4 linked regions of the Saccharomyces cerevisiae S288C genome follow. The gene in region 4 interacts genetically with the main gene of each other region. Each region holds a gene or a part of one and is shown on either strand. Other genes may lie near its edges. The genes, in order: MRS3, CST6, APT2 and YPL039W.

Region 1 (5,130 bases), on a different chromosome or scaffold from region 4:
CTTGGGCTTGACACCACCAAATCAGGAATCTTATCATCATAAAAATTACCTGTTACAGCAAATTGTAACTGATGTGCTTCTTCGGTGGTCTCATCCTTGATTGTCAGTATTTTTACTCCTTTGAAGTAAAAGTCGATTGTACAGGTACCAGGCTGTGAAACGAGTAGGTAGTCAACATCACTTGCCTTGTATGTCCCGACCTTTGAACCGTACATGGCAGTGATGGGTTGTAAAATGCTAAAATCCTCTTTTCTTGCTACAGTTAGAATATCCCATGGAACTATATAGATTGCACCAACTGTGTCTTCAAGTGGTGCACTTACAGCGAGATAATCCTTGTTGTCTTCTCGAAATTTTCCCATAGTCAGGCTTGTGCCAAAATCGGAAAATGATTTCATGGGAGATACGACAATGTGGCTATTTCCCTTACGTGCTTTTAATGAAGAGACCAAAGGTCGTGCATTTATCCGTTTTTGTGATACTGGCGGTAAATTAGCACATAATCTCAGTTCTTCTGCTTGAGCTTCATTAGTATTCTCGTCATGAAACAAAGTCTCGAAGAAAGGCACGCATCTTTGGAGCATTGCAACCAAATTGGACTGCCCTCCTAGCCAATGATTCAGTATTAGATCATTAGCCCTGGGGGATGTTGAGTAAATATTAGTTAACAATTGGTTTCTTTGAGAGCGGAATAGGTACCCTTCACTAATAGCCGCTGCCATTCCTCTTTTAACGCAAAATTCCAGTTCTGCGTAGGACAACTTTTCCTTTGAAAGTCCAGCGTTCCTTATAATTTCCATTAAATCCTCTTCTCTGGGCAATTTCCAATCAGAGCGAGTTAAAAAATCCCAATTTTCGTTATTATTACTGTCACGGATTACATTATTTAAGGTGAGGAATTCACCCATAACGTCTAAAAACGTATGAGCAGTTTCAATATCTCCATCAAATTCTGTTTCGCTGAGAACTCGGAGTAGTCCGTGCATTCTATAATCGGTAACTAACGAATGCCAGGAAACATCAACTATCTGATGAGTGAATACCCCTATTAAAAATGACTTTAGTGCGAGTGAGCCGTGAGTTCCCCGAAGTCGATCGTTCTGACCATACTTTTGCTGCCAATAAGATACTGCAATCATTAAGAAATTGGGCCAATGAGTGAATTCTGCAAAATCAGACCAATCCTTATTTGAAGGTGCACATGAGTACAAAGCATCCGGAAAGAAAGAACCAGCTTTCAACCAAGGATAATAGTTTTCCTTTAAACTTAAGGGAGCACCTCTTGTTAAATAAAATAGATGGGTAGTAACTCCAGCAGCTTGCAATTTTGTTACAATAGAAGTAGTTAAGCAAATAATAGAGACAAGTAACCAAGAACTAATTATACTCATCTTTATTTAATTCCCTCTGAATACATGTTTCTAACTAACTAACCAAGGAGGGCGCTTGAATGAATCTTTTTTTTTTTTAGAAATAGATTTACCACTCTTAGAGTTTCCGCTATAAATAATGGCAGCTTGCCTGCGTCCGAAATACCCTTTGGGTATACTAAACATAGATATATAAAGTAATGAAGAAAAAATGAAAACTTTTCGTTGAGGGAAAGAGCTCAAGCTTTGGGATTATCAAATTAAATTTGTATATATAAATGTACATAAAGTCACAACAGGAAAATGATAATATACACATAATCTTCTGAGATGCAAAATGAATGGAAAATAATATGACATGTAAGAACCAACTAATACGTCATTAGGAAATGTTTTGCACATTCATAAGCTGTCCATGATATAGCAGTAGCCGGCATGTTTGCCACTATCCTTGGTTTCCAACCTCTCCAAAACCCTTTCCAGCCATAAACTTGATATATGGCACTGGCTGCTTTACTAAAAGTATCCGCCTTTCTCATAATTTCCAACGAAACTGTTTGACTGCCCCTTATCTGCAGTACTGTCTTTATGCAGTCTAAAGGTGTTGTGATCGCCGCACATGTCGATCCGCTGATACTGCCACACAGACAATGTATGAGGGGGTTGTACTCATTTGATGGGTTTAAAAATTTTGTGGATGATTCATATATGACGAAATTAAATGCTGCAAATGGGATGTTCATTACTAGGGTGGTTGGGTAAGAATAATAAAATGCTGCCAAACCTTCAGATTGGTAAATCTGCTTTGTGGTTTGCCATACTGATGCCGAGGTATTGAGTTGGATTCTCTGTTTTATTGTGTCGAATGGGTTCATTAATGCGTCAGATGCCGTGGTGGCACAGGCACCACTGATAGCTGTCTTAAAAGGATGGTGCGTTTGCGTATCACTCGAATCGATAAGATTTTTTTTGCAGAACTCATACGTACCAAAATACACTGCATGCGCAGGTCCCGCACCTAGTATGACAGACTGAACACCCTTCCATAGGGCTAGAGTTCCTTCGGAAGTAGAGATGTGAGATATTTGCGAAAGCATATTCTTGGCAGACAGCGATTTCGCGTTGGCTGATTGTATTCGCGTCTTAAGGGCATCTATCGGGAACATCACTGAATGTTCCATTATACCAGCAAATGCACCCGCTATAAGTTGATGGTACAATGGCGCGTGGGTGGGGAGCGCCTCATAATCGGGTAGATCCATAGGTATTGCTGGAATTGGCCTTGTTGAATTATTACTCGACGAGTTTTCTACCATAATATCTTCTTTTTTTATAACATAAATATATTTACAGCAAACCTTAAGAGGTGTTAACGAATATGGGAATCGTGATTAATTAAGTGAAGTTACGATCCCAAGATAAAATAAGGAAGTTGTTGAAAGAGGAAAGAATCGATGAAGAAATGAACGACAAAATTACTTTTGTCAATTGTAGGGTACGAAACACCAAGAAATGCAATAAGTGCTATGTAAAGGTGATCCAGTCTTGGTTAGCACACACGCCCAGTTTCTCGAGAGACATAATGACAGTAAACGGTGAGTATAAAAAAAAAGCAAAAAAAAAAGAAAAAAGGAGCAATCGTTCGTTACAAACGATCTAGACTTGATGAAAAAAAACCCTAAAATGTCTCAGACCTAAAACAAAACCCTAAGAAGCACGTGATACAAACCTGTCACGTGCAACATTATGGGGTATGGGTGTGTCACACATTTGAAAAAAAGTGGGCGGAACGTGTGTGGGGGGGTGTCATGCCATTTCCACATTTGGTTGCTCTGGAGATAAGATCCACGAATGAAGGTGAGGGGCATGACTTCAGGGATCAATTTCCCGCCCGCAAGTTAGTTTTTCCGGTGGGAGCCGAGCATCAAGCATGACCACTTCCTGGTGCAGAGAGAAAGTTTCACACATATAAAAGAATAAACCGAAAGTAATGTAGGGAGATGTTTAATGTGATTTTTCACCTTTGTTTTAATGATTACGCACAAGTTTAAATATTACATTCATAAGACAGTAAATAAACGTATTAAATGATCGCCCAAAGTACCAGATTAGCCGCCGCCGTCTCTTCTTCAGCCGCCTCCGCGGGTGTCTCAAGGATAGCCGCTAGCGCCATGGCCAGCACTATTTTCAAGAGATCTCCGGGCAACTCGTTCAACTCTTTTAAGGAATATAGAGAAAATGCCAAGACATATGGTCCCTTGAGTGCCTCACTAGCTACCAGAAGACACTTGGCTCACGCGCCAAAGTTGTAGGCGTATCTTAATTATGCTCTTTTCTTTCCTGGTTTATTAATGATGATGACTTTAACCTATTCTTCTTTTGGGGTCCTGGTACGGTGCCTCAAATTTTTATACAACATGACTTTTTCAGTTACATATTTTTTTATAAGTACTTAATTTAGAAACGGATACATTTACACTACATTTTGTCTATTTTTTTTTTTTTGTTCCTTTTGTTTTATGCTATATTTAAGAGGGAAAATAGGACGGGGCTGCACATTACAACGGTGAATGGAACGCCAGCATAGATAATAAATCTACCTAGAATGTCAATCTTGGGCTCTCCAATATATAATGGACATTCGTACTTGCTTGCACCTTCTTTGTGCGTGGCCTCCAGTCTTTTTCTTGCCGCAACGTTTCTGTCATCCTTCAGATGGAAAACTTTGATCAATAACGTGTAGATCATCGGTTTGCTGATCACGTACTTCCAGATAACAACGCACGGTAGGCCCACCAGCAGCCTGGCTAAGGTTAACCGCCAGCCACAGTTAGGTTCCAAATTGTACACCAGGGTGACTCCAAACACTTTGCCCAACCAATCACAGCATTCAATACCTGACACAACGCCCATGAACGCAACACTATCTTGGAAGCAAGGACATTCGTCTACGGGCTTAACATGTTTAAACAAAAGAAGAAGACCCCATCCCACACTAAACAAAGGAAACCACCAATGCTCCTCAATGCGTAAACCCGGAAACCTGTACTTGAAATACATCCTAACAATGAAACACACTATTCCAATGAGCCCACCGCTTACTAAATCTAATATGCCATGCATCCCACAGTATATTCTACCGAAAACCAAAGTCATATAATAAAATAAAACCACACATGACAACAATAGTTGGACCATGACAGAAGATTCTTGCATCCTCCAGATGTTGTAGAGAAACAAGAGACTCACTCCTGTTGCATTTGCTGTATGGGAGCTTGGAGCACCATATTCCTTCGTTGTATATTCACTTAACGTAATTCGATGTAATGGAGGTGCTCTAGGCCTGGGCAAGCACCAGTAATCTTTAAAAAAACCACTCAAGTAGATAGAATATCCCAAGATATAAACCATATCTTTTGTTGTTTCAAAATATCCAAACCACACGGGCATAGGTAAACACAGAACATAGAAGGTATGCGATCCCATTAAGGAAGTATAAGTAAAGTAGAGATCATTAAACGCAGAACGGTACTTCTTTTGCCAGCGGCTTAATGTGAATGATTGATTGTTGGTAAACACTAACAGCTTCTCTCTAATATTAAACCGAAATTTGGACATTCGAGTTCGAAAATGATCTGAGGGATGATTACCGGGATCCAGCAAGTAATTAGGCTCTTGAAAGTCATTGGGGTTAGAGAGAGTCCTGGCTCTTTTCCTAATGTTCGAGGTATTCAGTCCATCTACCATTTTTTATCTATAC
Region 2 (4,979 bases), on a different chromosome or scaffold from region 4:
AATCAAGGTATCTTTCACAAGTTTTTCACTCAGCGAAAATTGCGAGACCGCTCGTGGAAGGTGACGATAATACGATACTTACAACTTTAATATTATAAATATAAGCATGTGGTGGAACAATATAGTCAGGCAAACTGCTAAAAGTCCCCACTTATAAACAGTGTGTAAAAAGTACGTTTGTTTTTGCTCCTTATCCTTTATTTGGCGTTTTGACAGTGAAGACAATGCCGCTACCGATGCGTTGGTTATATTAATTCCTCGATTAATTATACCATATTTTTGAATGTCCAGTGCAAATGAAGAATTTGTATTCGTAACTTCGTATGTCGGTAGGAAATACTGACCCAGGAACTCATTAATTGAATCGCTGCCTAACAGAGGCTCAACCTGCAGGTCTATCCCCTGCCAATTTTGAGAACTCTCATTAAGATATTTTTCAAACTGAGTGTTTGTGTCGTTAACCCAAAGATTTAGGATGTCCGTTGATTGCACTTTCAAATTGGGGTCAGTTTGAAGGCTTAAATTTGCTGTAATGAACTTTTCATTCACTTCCATTTGGAAATTTTCACACAATAATGATACGCTGTCATTAATGAAACCCTCTATCGTAGTTGTTATATTTCCATCTGTCCAAACTTCCCTTTTGTATAGCGAAGGTCCCGCTCTTTTGTGGAATGTAGGCAAACTGGGTACTTCAAAGTTTGTTAATCGCGTCACTATCTGCCAATGAATTAATAACATCAAAAAACCAAACAGCCACAGGTGAGCCCCATTTGAGATTATCCACCAGTTACAGTAAAATAGTTTTGATTTTTTGACTTTTTTGTCATCGATTTTTTCTGGTTCTCTTTTAAATATTTTTTGATTGATAAGCTTTGTTAATTGGTAGGGAATTGGATAAAGTGTACTGAGATTCAGAGTAGTAATTAAGCTTTTCAAAACTTTGTTGTATTTAGTAAAATTGGTTTGTCCTGTCAGGCCATTAATTTGGGACATAACCAGGTTTACTTGCTGATTTTCCAGCTGAAACAGAATTCTTTCGATTGCCATGAGCAAAATCACAAATGCAAAGTACATGACTGTGAAAATTATTGTCATTCTCTTACATTTACGGAAAACGTGATTTTTTACTGCACTTAGTACACTGTTTTCCTCGCTATTTGTTTTCAGAGACCGTTTAATTATTGAAGTAGACGATGTAACCTCGGTACTCCCCCCAGATAAAATGGAAATTTCATTCTGTAAGTTTGCAGTAAAGTTCCTTTTCAACTGAAGCCAGTCAGTGGAATTTCGTAGAAAATTCAAACTTAAGGTACTAGAGGTATCTAATTGAGTAGAAAAGTCAGTGATAGTGCCATTGAAGTTCTGCAATGATTTCAATTTCCTTGAGTAGTTCCCAAAAATACTGTCAAACATGGAGTAATTTAACAGTAGGTTTGATGCCATTTGTGAAATGGAATCCTTATCAATGGTCATTGCGTCTTCTGATATTTCATTCCATGTGTCATTTATCAGCTGTGATTTAGTGAGTAGTTCGTTAAAAATTGTATTGTTTACCTCAAGAACTTCCTTAATCAATTCAGTTTCCAAACTTATTTGGTCGTTGATAAGTTTTTGTTTATTATCCAGTATGTCGTCTGTGTATGACTTGAATTTTTCTTGCATATCCGTACCTACCGTAGATTCAATACTCCGTAGTTTGCTTTCGAAATACTGATCAATTGTATTATCAATGAATGTTTTATTTAAAGAGTAACTGTTGGCAGAATATATGGCATGCTGTGTTGTGACTGCTGTCATTGTGGCCGTTGTTGTGGCCGTTGTTGTGGCTGTCGCTGTAGCAGTTGAAATAGATGCAAAGGTTGAGACGGTATCATTTCGTTTGACCTGTGCGTGAGACATTTTTGCCATTGTAATGTCAATGACTGAAAAGGAACCCCAAATAGTTAAAATAACAGAAGTAAAGAATATCAGTAATAGAGGATGGAAAATACAACTAAAAAACCTCTGTGGAAGTGATAAAGGTTTAATTATGTGTACATTGTTCATCTTTGCCGTACTCTTAGTTTTATCGAAAAGTGGTGTAGATTTTCAGCTACTTAAGCCATGTTAGTGTTCTAGTTTTTTGCTTTACATGTTATATAAAGGGCCAAGATAGCATATGTAAATGTTTTATTACTGGGCTGAAACATTTTTAAAACATTTTTCAATAATGTGCTGTTATAACCGTACAAGGACGGTTATAATTCTGAATTAAAATGCTGCACCGAATGAAAATACCAATGTTCTTCCAAACCTATTGGCGAAAATTAAGATAAGCTGTCGCCTCTATAATCAAGAATAATCTCAACTATTATAAATATTATTCCCAGAAGTTGAAATTGTGACACATTTGAGTAATATCACCTTACACGGAACATAGTTGCCCCCTTCTCCGAAATTGCTGACAATGATAATCGGGGATTCAATGACAATGACAATGAAGGCAAAAGATTTTCATATTGTACTCTTGTTTTTTGAGTTATCACTTTCAAGTACCTTCTTGTTAACAGAAATAGAACCGCTATAGAGGTTATCGTGTATACGTATCTGTTGGTGTTTCTAAATCAAAAACTCGCTTTTAAAGCAGTCTTTCAATTGGAAGATTCAAAAGGATCTAAAAAGATCTAAAGTAGTAAAGAAAAAAGTATAAGCCCACACCTTTTTGGTAGGATAATGTTTACTGGTCAGGAGTATCATTCCGTAGACTCTAATTCCAACAAGCAAAAAGACAACAATAAACGTGGTATTGATGACACATCAAAGATCTTGAATAATAAGATACCGCACTCTGTTAGTGATACTTCTGCCGCCGCCACCACCACTTCTACTATGAACAATTCTGCTTTAAGTAGATCCTTAGATCCTACTGACATAAACTATAGCACAAATATGGCTGGTGTGGTTGACCAAATACATGATTATACTACTTCCAATAGAAATTCTTTAACCCCACAATATTCTATTGCAGCTGGAAACGTCAATTCGCATGATCGGGTTGTTAAACCCAGCGCCAATTCAAACTATCAGCAGGCTGCATACCTTCGACAACAGCAACAGCAGGATCAGCGACAACAGTCACCCTCTATGAAAACTGAAGAGGAATCCCAACTCTACGGTGATATTCTGATGAATTCTGGTGTCGTACAGGATATGCATCAGAATCTGGCCACTCATACAAATCTGAGCCAACTGTCGTCTACCCGTAAGTCCGCTCCGAATGATTCTACTACAGCCCCGACTAATGCGTCCAACATCGCCAATACGGCTTCTGTGAACAAGCAGATGTATTTCATGAACATGAATATGAATAACAACCCACATGCCTTGAACGATCCATCCATCCTGGAAACATTGTCGCCATTTTTTCAACCTTTTGGTGTTGATGTAGCACATTTACCTATGACGAATCCACCAATTTTCCAAAGTTCTTTGCCTGGATGCGATGAGCCAATTAGAAGAAGAAGAATATCAATCTCTAACGGTCAAATAAGCCAGCTAGGCGAAGATATTGAAACTTTGGAAAACCTGCACAACACACAGCCGCCCCCGATGCCCAATTTTCACAATTATAATGGTCTGAGCCAAACTAGGAATGTATCAAACAAGCCGGTCTTCAACCAAGCAGTGCCGGTTAGTAGTATTCCACAATACAATGCAAAAAAAGTTATTAATCCCACGAAGGACTCCGCATTGGGTGATCAGAGCGTTATTTACTCGAAAAGTCAGCAGCGAAATTTTGTAAACGCGCCATCAAAGAATACTCCAGCGGAGAGTATAAGTGATTTGGAAGGCATGACGACGTTTGCGCCAACTACTGGAGGTGAAAATAGGGGCAAATCTGCACTTAGGGAATCTCACTCTAATCCTAGCTTCACTCCAAAATCTCAAGGATCTCATTTAAATTTAGCGGCGAACACACAGGGAAATCCAATCCCTGGTACTACGGCATGGAAGAGAGCAAGATTGTTAGAAAGAAATCGAATTGCAGCTTCGAAATGTAGACAAAGGAAAAAGGTTGCGCAGCTGCAGCTCCAAAAGGAATTTAACGAAATTAAAGACGAGAATAGAATTTTACTGAAAAAGTTAAATTACTATGAAAAACTAATCTCTAAATTCAAGAAATTCTCCAAAATTCATTTACGTGAACATGAAAAACTAAATAAAGACTCAGATAATAATGTTAATGGCACTAATAGTAGCAACAAAAATGAAAGCATGACTGTGGATTCATTAAAGATCATTGAAGAACTTTTAATGATCGATTCAGACGTTACAGAAGTGGATAAAGATACTGGTAAGATCATAGCCATCAAGCACGAGCCATACTCTCAACGTTTCGGAAGCGATACTGACGATGACGATATAGATCTCAAGCCCGTAGAAGGTGGTAAGGATCCAGACAACCAATCATTACCCAATTCTGAAAAGATAAAATAACAAAGTTTTGGTGAGCACAACGGTGTTTCATTCAAGAATGATAAGGACAACTATATATGTAATATACGTGTATAAATACTCGAGCTGCATCCTTTCTTTTCTGCCGTTATTATTTCGTTTAGTTACTACATTTATGGTATAAATTACCTTTAAGACATTATTATTTTGCATGTATGAAATTTGCTCGTGTCAACCCCTTAGTCCTCCTTGCCTCTGTTGTATGGAGGAAGCCCTTTAAACCTGTATTTAGTTTTTTAAATCTATTAGAATTAAGTACAATTGTACAGATGGTAAAAAAAAGTAATCGTTATATCGTTTGTCAGTGATTTTTTTTTTTTTATTTCATTCATTATTTATTTCTTATTTTTCAATTTGTTCCCTTATTGGGGCAAACCACGGGTGTCCCATCGCTTCCTTAGCAGTTAATCTTTCTTGATGATCATATCTCAAAAGATTGTCAATAAGGTCAATAATTTCATCGTTGCCGCTTAAATGTTTAT
Region 3 (5,120 bases), on a different chromosome or scaffold from region 4:
CAAAAGTGTGTTCGCTCCACTGAATTTTAACCCCATAATAGAAAACAATGTTGATAACAAATACAAATCTGGAGGGAAATTTTCCTTCAGTCCGTTGCAAAAGGAGGAAGCATTAAACTTTGATATTTCTATGGCGGATCTTTCTAGCTCTGAAGAGGAAGAGGATGAAGAAGAGAACGGTAGCAGCGATGAGGATCTAAAGTCATTGAACGTACGCGACGACATGAAACCTTCTGATAACATCAGTACTAATACTAATATTCATGAGCCTCAATACATAAATTACTCTTCGATCCCAAGTCTACAAGACTCTATTATAAAGCAAGAAAATTTCAATTCAGTAAACGATGCTAATATCACTAGCAATAAGGAAGGCTTCAACTCTATTTGGAAAATTCCTCAAAATGATATACCACAGACCGAGTCACCACTGAAGACCGTTGATTCATCTATTCAACCCATAGAATCCAATATAAAGATGACCTTGGAAGATAATAATGTTACCAGTAATCCGTCCGAATTTACGCCGAATATGGTAAATTCTGAAATTTCTAACCTACCAAAAGACAAGAGTGGTATCCCCGAATTCACACCGGCGGACCCCAATTTATCTTTTGAATCATCAAGTAGTCTACCGTTTCTATTGAGACACATGCCGCTAGCATCTATACCGGACATTTTCATCACGCCTACTCCCGTTGTTACAATTTCAGAAAAAGAACAAGACATCTTAGATTTAATTGCAGAACAAGTCGTCACTGATTATAATATCTTAGGAAACCTCGGTATTCCAAAGATCGCCTATAGGGGAGTTAAAGATTGCCAAGAAGGTTTAATAACAACCACAATGTTACAGTTATTTTCCACTTTCGATAGATTAAATGGCAATGATACGATCTCCAAATTCTATAACATGAAGCAGCCGTACGTTTTTGTAAAGAAACATCACGAACTAATCAAAGTCAAACACGACTCTCAGCCATTTATTAAGTTCCTCAATTTTCGCCCTCCAAATGGAATAAAAAACTTCAAATCCTTATTATTAAGTTCATCTTTCAAAGAAGATTGTCTGTCATTTGCGCCAACTCTATCTCAAACATATATTAATCAAGAGTTAGGGTTTTGTGAGTTGCTTAAACTAACTAATGAAGACCCGCCCGGACTGATGTACTTGAAGGCATTTGATAAAAACAAGTTACTGTTGTTAGCTGCGCAGATTGTTTCATACTGTTCTAATAATAAGAACTCCATCAAAAACGTGCCACCAATATTAATAATTTTACCCTTGGATAATGCAACTCTGACTGAATTAGTAGACAAGGCGAATATTTTTCAGGTGATCAAGAACGAAGTTTGTGCCAAGATGCCTAACATTGAACTATATTTGAAAGTTATTCCTATGGATTTCATTAGAAACGTACTGGTGACAGTGGATCAGTACGTCAACGTAGCAATTTCTATATATAACATGCTGCCGCCAAAATCTGTAAAGTTCACCCACATTGCGCATACGCTGCCGGAGAAAGTGAATTTCAGAACCATGCAGCAACAGCAAATGCAACAGCAACAGCAACAGCAACAGCAGCAGCAGAATAACAGTACAGGATCATCTTCTATAATATATTATGACTCGTACATCCACCTGGCATACTCGCGTAGTGTAGATAAAGAGTGGGTTTTTGCAGCTCTTTCAGATAGCTATGGACAAGGCAGCATGACGAAAACGTGGTACGTCGGGAATTCCAGAGGAAAATTTGACGACGCATGTAATCAAATATGGAATATCGCCCTAAATTTAGCGTCTAAAAAATTCGGAAAAATATGTCTAATTTTAACTAGATTGAATGGCATACTGCCGGATGATGAATTGATGAATTGGAGGAGACTTTCTGGTAGGAATATACATCTTGCTGTGGTGTGTGTGGATGACAACTCTAAAATCTCCTTCATAGATGAGGACAAATTGTACCCTAGTTTCAAGCCGATCTACAAAGACACTAGGTTTGGAGGACGCATGGATATGACCAGATTATACGACTATGAAATAAGGGATATAGACCAGGACATCCATGGAATAGTATTTCAGCACCCGTTCCCACTGGCACACTCACAGCATCGCTGTGCTATTAGGAGTGGTGCTTTGATCAAATTCAAAAAATGCGACGGTGATACGGTTTGGGACAAATTCGCAGTCAACCTTTTAAACTGTCCACATTCTGATAGTACACAATTGCTGGAAACCATCTTAGAAGAGTTTCGCAACCTGGCTGCTCTAAACGTGTGGTACGGTCTCTCTGATGGCGAAGATGGCCATATTCCATGGCATATCCTAGCCGTGAAAAAAATGATGAACACTCTTGTGCACACCAGAGTAAAAATTGCTAATACTTCCGCCGCTACTGTGCATACCGCTACTTCTTCATCAATTATTCTCTCGGATAAATAAACTTTTTCCGGCAACGTTTTCCTGCTCATCTGTAGCCCTATTTACCAGTTTTGGTTTTAGTATTATTCCGGGGTGTAAACCCAGAAGTCTATTTCTCCAGTCGGATTTATAAAAACAAAACCGGAAGCGGGGCGGTACGGCATTTTCACTGGTGATGCACGCCCAGCGTGTAGTCCGAGACAATTTCCACAGAACGCGAATGAGATTGCGTTTAAGGCTGTATTTTCAAGGCACACGAAGCGGCCACGTGGGTCTGCGATGGTGTGTTGATGATGTCAAGAATGGTATCATACTCCGTATAAGGTTATGTAATCGGAAGTCGCGATTCTTTTTCAATTTTTTCTTTTTATTTTTTTCCAGTTTTTTCGTCTCTGCGATGGAAAATTGTTGAAGTTCTCTTGATTAGCAAGTAGTTCTTACATCGCAGGAATCTTATGTTGCATAGCTCAATTTACAAAAATAACAAGGATAAATATATATATATACGCATATACTTTTTGGGTGTTAAAGTAAATTTTGCACCCGTTCATACCAATCGTTCAGATAATTTTCGCTCCTTAAAAAAAGAGAGTGCGTGTGTATATGCCTGTTCATTGCCTGTCCGCCTCTCATTATGTCTATTTCTGAATCTTACGCAAAGGAAATAAAAACTGCATTTAGGCAGTTCACTGACTTTCCCATAGAGGGTGAGCAATTTGAGGATTTTTTACCTATTATTGGCAACCCCACGCTATTCCAAAAGTTGGTACACACGTTCAAGACGCATTTAGAAGAAAAGTTCGGCAAAGAAAAGATCGACTTTATTGCAGGTATAGAAGCTAGAGGCCTTCTATTTGGGCCATCCCTAGCACTGGCATTGGGAGTTGGATTTGTTCCAATAAGGAGAGTTGGAAAATTGCCGGGTGAGTGTGCTTCTATAACATTCACAAAATTAGACCATGAAGAAATTTTTGAAATGCAGGTTGAAGCCATTCCCTTTGATTCCAACGTGGTTGTCGTGGATGATGTTCTCGCCACCGGTGGAACGGCATATGCTGCGGGCGACCTTATCAGACAAGTGGGTGCTCATATTCTGGAATATGACTTTGTGCTAGTGTTAGATAGTCTACATGGTGAGGAGAAATTATCTGCTCCTATTTTTTCCATATTGCACTCCTGATTTAAATTTGTTCTCTGCCTCCTCCTTCAATTATTTTCCTTTCCTTCGCATATTGCTACTTTTTAGCTTGAACTTCTTTTGTTAATATAAACTGGTACTTTACTTTTTAGGTACCTGGTCCACGGCGCCTTATCCTTCTTTTAATTCATATTATTACCTACTCTTATTCTCTCCCTTTCTATTTTTTTATTTTTTGATTTTTATAAGTTACACTTGTGTACATGTTATTTCTACTTAGTTATTCATACTCATCGTTAAAAGCCGTTCAAAGTGCCTCATCTGGTATACTTCACCGGCGTACCTCTGTTCCTCCTACCTCTTGCAGCAGGGCTGAATAAACTTTCGTCCACATCCTCCATCACTGTTGATATATAATACTCTCCGCCACTATGCGTCCATGAAACACTATCCTCCTTAAGATCATACCTTTGCACCTTTAATCTATTGAAGATGTTCTCAACATTGTAGAAGTTGATCTGATAAGTGAGGCTTCTTAAACTTTTCAAACTTATGATCTTACATCCAACTTTTGCCGTTTGTAGTATCTTTTCGACTTTTTTATTCAAATCTTCATCAAATAAAAAATTATTTACGAGGATAACATCGCACTGAGGAATTAGTTCAGCGACCCTGTTATTGTCCACAAAGCTTTTCTTCAATGAAAACTCCACGTTGTTCAAACGCATCCCATATAACTTACACCTCTTCTTTAGTTCCTCGTACTGCAGTATAGTTAAATCGCTAGCATCATCCATGATTTCACATCCGAAGCTTAATGCACATCCACATTCCAACGCAGCTTGTACTACGCAATTACCTACTCCCGAACCGAGATCCATGAAAGTGTCACCCTTCTTCAACTGGCATTGTTGATATACATCAGATAGGAAATTGGGCAAAAGTTCTCCATAAACATAATTGCTGAATGCTTTGTAATGTTTCAATTTATTCGCCTGCGGATGGATACTCCTGGTATAGACGATATGCAAGAAGTCATGAATGAATGAACGAGGAATTTTATCAATTGTTTCTAAATGGTCAATTATTCTTTGCCTAGGAATTTCACGAATCATTTTGTTGTATAAATTTATAGCATTCACGAAACCTTTCGTGTCAGAGTTATCAAATGATGCATTTAGGTCCGGTAGTATAGTTTCCTTCAATTGTTCAGCATAAGGTGAAGGTAAAAAGACCAGGCAGCTGTATTCAATTAATTTACCAATTTCACTCATTGGATTATAAATGGCTGTTGACCTTTTGAAGTCGACTTTGTACTCTTCCATATAATTTGAAAATAAAATACTCTGCAACTTTGCTGTCGTTACTGAGGAAGTGTCGTTATCTGATGTCAAGCTCGTTGGCTGTGGAGAATTTGTTCTTAAACTAATGGATTGTATAGGAGTTCCAGAATATATTTCATGTGATCTTAAGTACTCTATGTCAAATAATGGATATTGTAACCGTAGACACGGGCCATTCCAATCAACAAATGTTGATGAAGGACTATCGCGATCA
Region 4 (5,434 bases):
ATGTGTTGTTTTGGTGACACCTTCTTCTAGACTTAACCTCTTGAATTCCTCCTGGAACTGTTTTAGAATTTTTAGTTCAAAGTTTTCAAAGGAGGTGACGATTTCCGTATTTGAGTCCAAAAACGGCCATTTTCCACGCATCGGATTAATGTCTATATGTTCTTGTCCTTGTAACCATCCTTCTGGTATATACTTCCATACTTCTTGGACCATAACGGGTAATATTGGTGCAAGAATTGCCCTATATGCATTTAGTATATGGACAAGCGTTGTTTGGACCTGCCTTCTTGCCAATGACGATATTTGGTTGGAATATAAAATATCCTTTGAGATATCAAAATAAAACGCCGATAGCTCGTTATTTAAATGATATTGTAGAGTAATGAGAACCTTGGAAAAGTTGTACTTTTGGTAGTGTTCTCTCGTCGTTTCCAGCAGTTCGTTTATCTTATACAAGGTATATTGATCAACACGGCGTAATTGTTCAATCGGCAAAAGGTTGAAATCTTGGGACTTCTGTAAATTACTCAATAAATAGCGAAAAGTTAGTCTAACCTTTTTTAGAGCTTCTCCTACATGTTTCATCACAGTCGGGCCAGCAACTATATCAGTTGTGAAATTCGATTGTGCTATCAGATACCTCAAGCCATCAACACCCAAAGCTGGTAAGCCTAAGTTTTCATCGCCTCGAATTATTGCTTCGGGAGAAATTGTATTTCCCACAGATTTTGACATTTTCAGACCATTCTCATCTAGGGTAAAACCATGAGTAATCACTTCTTCATATGGTGCAACAGGGACATTACTTGATGCTACTTTTGTTAGCAGTGAACTTTGAAACCATCCTCTATGTTGATCAGATCCTTCTAGACAAACTTGGTACAGGGGGGATGGGAGTTTTGACAACTTTAAGCTTTTTTCATAAAAGTCTTTGATCACACTCCATGACGACCCACTATCAAACCACACATCCATAGTATCTTGAGAACGACAGTATTCATGCGCTACGTCGTGATATTTTTCTGGCAACCATTCTTTCATGTCATTATCTTTATCGTTAAACCATGCATTAATTCCTTTTTGTTTGATTTTTTCTATGGCATGTGCCAAAATTTCTGAATTCATCAAAACAGAATCCGGTTCGCTCTTCTTGTAAAAGCTTAATATAGGGATACCCCATGAGCGTTGCCTAGATATGCACCATTCATTTCTGCTTTTCATAAAGGATGAAAGTCTTGAATAGCCTCTTTTAGGACAAAACTTGACGCGGCTGATGCTTTCCAGAGCCAAGTTTTTTACATCGTGTAAATCTGCAAACCACTGTGGAGTAGCTCTTATTATGACAGGTTTCTTGGATCTCCAGTCGTACGGATAAGAATGCGTGTATTCGTGAGATTTGTAAAGTAAATTAAGGTCGCTTAACTTACATAGAATGATTTTCGCGGTTTCGGCATCCAATACTTGCCTACCTTTTGTTAAGTCTCCTTCATCTCTCACGATGGATCTGACGGACTGAGGAAGTTCATTTAATTGGTAGCGGCCCTGGTGATCCACGGGAGAATAAATTTCAAGACCATTTTGAATACCAATGAGATAGTCATCCTGTCCATGCCCTGGTGCTGTATGAACCAATCCAGTCCCTGTACCGCTGGTAACGTGTGCACCATGTAATAAGGGCCTGCCAACCTTATCGTCTACTAAGAGGTTTTGATAATATAGCCCATTTAGATGAGTTCCTTGAAACTGTTTGATAGTCTCAAATGAGTTAGTTGTTAGGCCCAATTTATCAATGGAGCCGGTCTCTACAAGGATAAGTTCACTATTTAAGCGTAATAGGGAGTAGGAAAAATCCTGATTGAAACAGATTGCTCGATTAGAGAGAAGAGTCCATGGAGTACTGGTCCAAATCAAACAGTATATAGGCAAGTTATTCGTTATTCCTAGTTTTTTGCACAGATCCATCTGGGATTTCTTTTCAAGAGGAAATTTAACATAAGCAGCGATGGATTTATGGTTTTCATTATATTCTAATTCGCCCTCTGCTAACGCTGTTCTAGTTTCTGTACCCCAGTAAACCGGTTTGTTCTGTCTCTTAATCAGTCCTCTTTCGTACATTTCTTTAAAAATATTTAGCTGATTAATTTCATAGTCTTTATCCATTGTTAGGTATGGTGTTTCCCAGTCCGTTAAGATGGCAAAATGTTGGAAAGTTTCCCTTTGCCTCTTGATTGCCTTTTGTGCATGTTTTAAAGCCATTGACCTGATTTTTAAAGGCGATATTGACTCGATCTGTTGCGCGCTTAAATCTTTCAAAGCTTTAATCTCGATGGGTAGTCCATGACAATCCCAGCCAGGCTTATAAAAAATGTACTTCCCCTGTGAAAGTTGATATCTGTTTATGATATCTTTCAGAATTTTATTTAGAGCATGACCGAGATGGAGCTCGCCGTTGGCATAGGGCGGTCCATCATGTAAGATGAACAACTTTTCTTTAATGAACTCTAATTTTTCATCAGTCGTATTAAGCTTTGAAAATTCTTCGAAGAAATCACGTAGCTGCTCCTTGTAAACTAACTGCGAAGATTTTGGTATTAATTCCCTCAATGTAATCTCTAAGTTTGATCTATTAGGGAATTTGGTCTTGGGCAAGTTTAATGTTTTTTGGTAGGCATGTTTGGCGAGATATCGCTTGCTAATAATGCTAAAGATATGTTGAGGCACAAGCCTGGAGCGCTTCATAAGTAGCTAAAGATCGTTCTTAGTATACTGTGTTCCATAACTTCTAGCCTTGGTCCTTTATATTTGCTGTTTTTCTGCGTTTCTTAACTCGCTTGCGGAAAAAGAATCGACATTTTCAGAACAGGATTTTATTGTTTTTAAAGTACATTATATGGGGCGACACATCATCGCCATCTATGTTAAATATTTAAAGAATACGGGGTAGAATTATTCACGCTGGGGGATGCTGAAAGAGGAGTATAATTTGAGCGGTGCTGATAACATGGCATCTGCTGAGTTGTCATTTAAAAAGCAAAAAGTGGTATTGAAAAAGTTCATGATAGCGCAAGTGACTAAGGGGATTATGCAGCGGTATGCGAGCCTATTAGTTACCATGCCTAGTGATGATGACAATGCAATTATTGGCACAAATCATTTGAAAACAACCAAATTTTTAGAAATAATCCTACACAGAGCCAAATCATCGCATTTACAGTTCAAAAAGGTCTGTTGCATTGTCATCAAGTTTCTAGATTGCTGCTCGAAGGAAACTAACTACATGAAGTTTTTAAAGTTCAGCTTACACAAACTATTTGTAGCTGCTTTCATCTTAAGTGTGCCAAATGTTGTAGGCGATGACCGCGACAGGATTACCACGAGGGATGAAACCTATCATCTCTATTCCCAGATAACAGGCTTGCCACTGGAAGAAGTGATAAATTGTTGTTCTATTGTGAGGCCTGTACTTATTCGGCGGAGTAGACAACAACGCAGGCAAATGTTATCTCGACGTGAACAACATTCGTACTTCCTCAGAAGTTCTTTTATGAACTCCAATTCATCAGCATCACCTTTTTTCTCTACCAATAGGTCAGCTGATGATCTACATGTACATACAAGGGCATACTCGCTTCATAGCCATTCCGATGGGGAAGGCCAAGATAGGCGGTCGGAACATGAAGAAACGCATAGCATGGGGGCTGATGCCGATACATATCGACAAACTACGTTTATCCCAGACACACCAAATGGTTTGCATTCTAGATCATTAATTGAGTGTGGGATCGAACCCACCCAAGTAAGTGACTCTGGTGAATGGTCGGGTCAAAGTAACGGATATGTTTTGGTGACAGAATTACAGGAGTTTAACAAAATGGGTAAAAAGTTAGTACAAGAAGCTTTTAGGATAGTTTAATAAAGTATGGTTTGTCGTTTTGTTCATCATTCAAGGGTCATTTTTATTTCCATTTATGATTTCTTGAGTACAAAAGGCAAAAAAAACATGTATAATTATACACAAGAAAAAAAAACAAAACAAAAGAACACTTTCACACAAGCAAGTATATATTATGAGAATTTTTTCGAGTCTTACAGAACCATATCTTGCCTCTAAATTTTAGTCTAAAAATTTTGCTAGCCCATCAATTTTTTTTTTGTTCTAATGCAAAATATAACATGGGTAAGAAAAAGAAAAAGCCGTTCCTCAGTACGTAAAGAGATTTGATCATTAACAAGTTGGGCTCAATATACACAGTCGATAGTCTATATGTGCATATGAAACTGGCGCAAGACATGAATGTAGATGAAATATTTCTCAAACAAGCGGCAGAAGCTATAGCGGTAATCTCATCAAGTCCCACTCATACGGACCCCATAATACGAGAGCTACTCCACAGAATTCGACAATCCAGCCCATTGAGCGCAGTTATACCAGCACCAGAAAATGTTTTAAAGGCTGGGGAGCCGGAAAATATGGCTAGAGGTCTTATAAGGATTCCAGAAACACAAACAAAAAGAACAGGAGGTAACAACCATAGCAAGGAAGGCGCACAGCTCTACAGCTGTGCGAAATGTCAGTTGAAATTCAGCAGAAGTTCTGATCTGAGAAGACATGAAAAGGTACACTCACTCGTGCTGCCGCATATTTGCTCAAACTGTGGCAAAGGGTTTGCCAGGAAGGATGCTCTAAAAAGACATTCTAACACACTGACCTGTCAAAGAAACAGAAAGAAACTAAGTGAAGGTTCAGACGTTGATGTAGATGAGCTCATCAAGGATGCGATAAAGAATGGTACCGGCCTGTTGTAAGGCTAGAGGAAAACGTATTTGTCTCCATCAGCACACCTACACATACATATATAGATAGATATATACTTTAGCCATTGAGATAAGTAGAATAAAAAAACGTTGTAATATTCCGATACAGTTAGTGACATGTTCTCTACTTTTGCCAATTTTTTGCGCACAAAGTGGTGACGTACAAGTTCATCATTTCACGTGTGCAGCATAGTGTGGTATATTGTTTTTTTATATTTTATTTTTTATTTTTTTTTTTTTGCAGAAAACAGTGTTTGTATTATATGCTTTAGATATGCTAAAAAAAATGAAAAAAAATGGAACAAAATATGTGTTTTTTTATTTAACGTTAAAATTAAAGATTAAGTTATTTATTCGACGTCAGCATCAAAAGTTTGACCTTCAACTAACTCTGGAATAGCTTCATCCTTCTTTTCAGCATCAGCTGGAGCCTTGGCTTCGTGCTTTTCCATTTGGGCAGCCAATTGAGACAAGGCTTGGATGGCTTCAGGGCCCAATTGAGAGATAATACCTGGGAACAAATCTTGCAAGTTCTTTTCCTGTGGTAGACCGTAGAATACAGAAGTGTTGTGTTGAGCAGCAACTTGGACACCGACCTTGTTGAAGTGCATGACCTTAC

What was found.
Region 1: mutations in YPL039W (region 4) and MRS3 together harm fitness more than expected from each alone (negative genetic interaction), as found in Saccharomyces cerevisiae (one large-scale study listed by BioGRID).
Region 2: mutations in YPL039W (region 4) and CST6 together harm fitness more than expected from each alone (negative genetic interaction), as found in Saccharomyces cerevisiae (one large-scale study listed by BioGRID).
Region 3: mutations in YPL039W (region 4) and APT2 together harm fitness less than expected from each alone (positive genetic interaction), as found in Saccharomyces cerevisiae (one large-scale study listed by BioGRID).

The regions. Positions count from the first base shown.
Region 1 is NC_001142.9:158,175-163,304, reverse strand, and holds MRS3 (Fe(2+) transporter), read right to left. Parts: upstream 2,687-5,130; coding exon 1,742-2,686; downstream 1-1,741. Other genes in the region: YJL132W (uncharacterized protein), read right to left, coding at 1-1,391; DPI8 (Dpi8p), read left to right, coding at 3,458-3,682; sphinganine kinase LCB3, read right to left, coding at 3,888-5,117. UniProt on the Saccharomyces cerevisiae protein: MRS3 suppresses a mitochondrial splice defect in the first intron of the COB gene. It may act as a carrier, exerting its suppressor activity via modulation of solute concentrations in the mitochondrion (possibly of cations).
Region 2 is NC_001141.2:282,951-287,929, forward strand, and holds CST6 (Cst6p), read left to right. Parts: upstream 1-2,715; coding exon 2,716-4,479; downstream 4,480-4,979. Other genes in the region: pheromone-regulated protein PRM2, read right to left, coding at 79-2,049; casein kinase 2 catalytic subunit CKA1, read right to left, coding at 4,840-4,979. UniProt on the Saccharomyces cerevisiae protein: Transcriptional activator of promoters containing ATF/CREB sites. Can independently stimulate transcription through ATF/CREB sites. Important for a variety of biological functions including growth on non-optimal carbon sources.
Region 3 is NC_001136.10:1,343,002-1,348,121, reverse strand, and holds APT2 (adenine phosphoribosyltransferase APT2), read left to right. Parts: upstream 1-3,059; coding exon 3,060-3,605; downstream 3,606-5,120. Other genes in the region: SSN2 (Ssn2p), read left to right, coding at 1-2,446; histone methyltransferase DOT1, read right to left, coding at 3,881-5,120. UniProt on the Saccharomyces cerevisiae protein: Catalyzes a salvage reaction resulting in the formation of AMP, that is energically less costly than de novo synthesis. May lack catalytic activity.
Region 4 is NC_001148.4:476,263-481,696, forward strand, and holds YPL039W (uncharacterized protein), read left to right. Parts: upstream 1-2,962; coding exon 2,963-3,913; downstream 3,914-5,434. Other genes in the region: isoleucine--tRNA ligase ISM1, read right to left, coding at 1-2,739; YPL038W-A (uncharacterized protein), read left to right, coding at 3,920-4,111; MET31 (Met31p), read left to right, coding at 4,273-4,806; EGD1 (Egd1p), read right to left, coding at 5,166-5,434.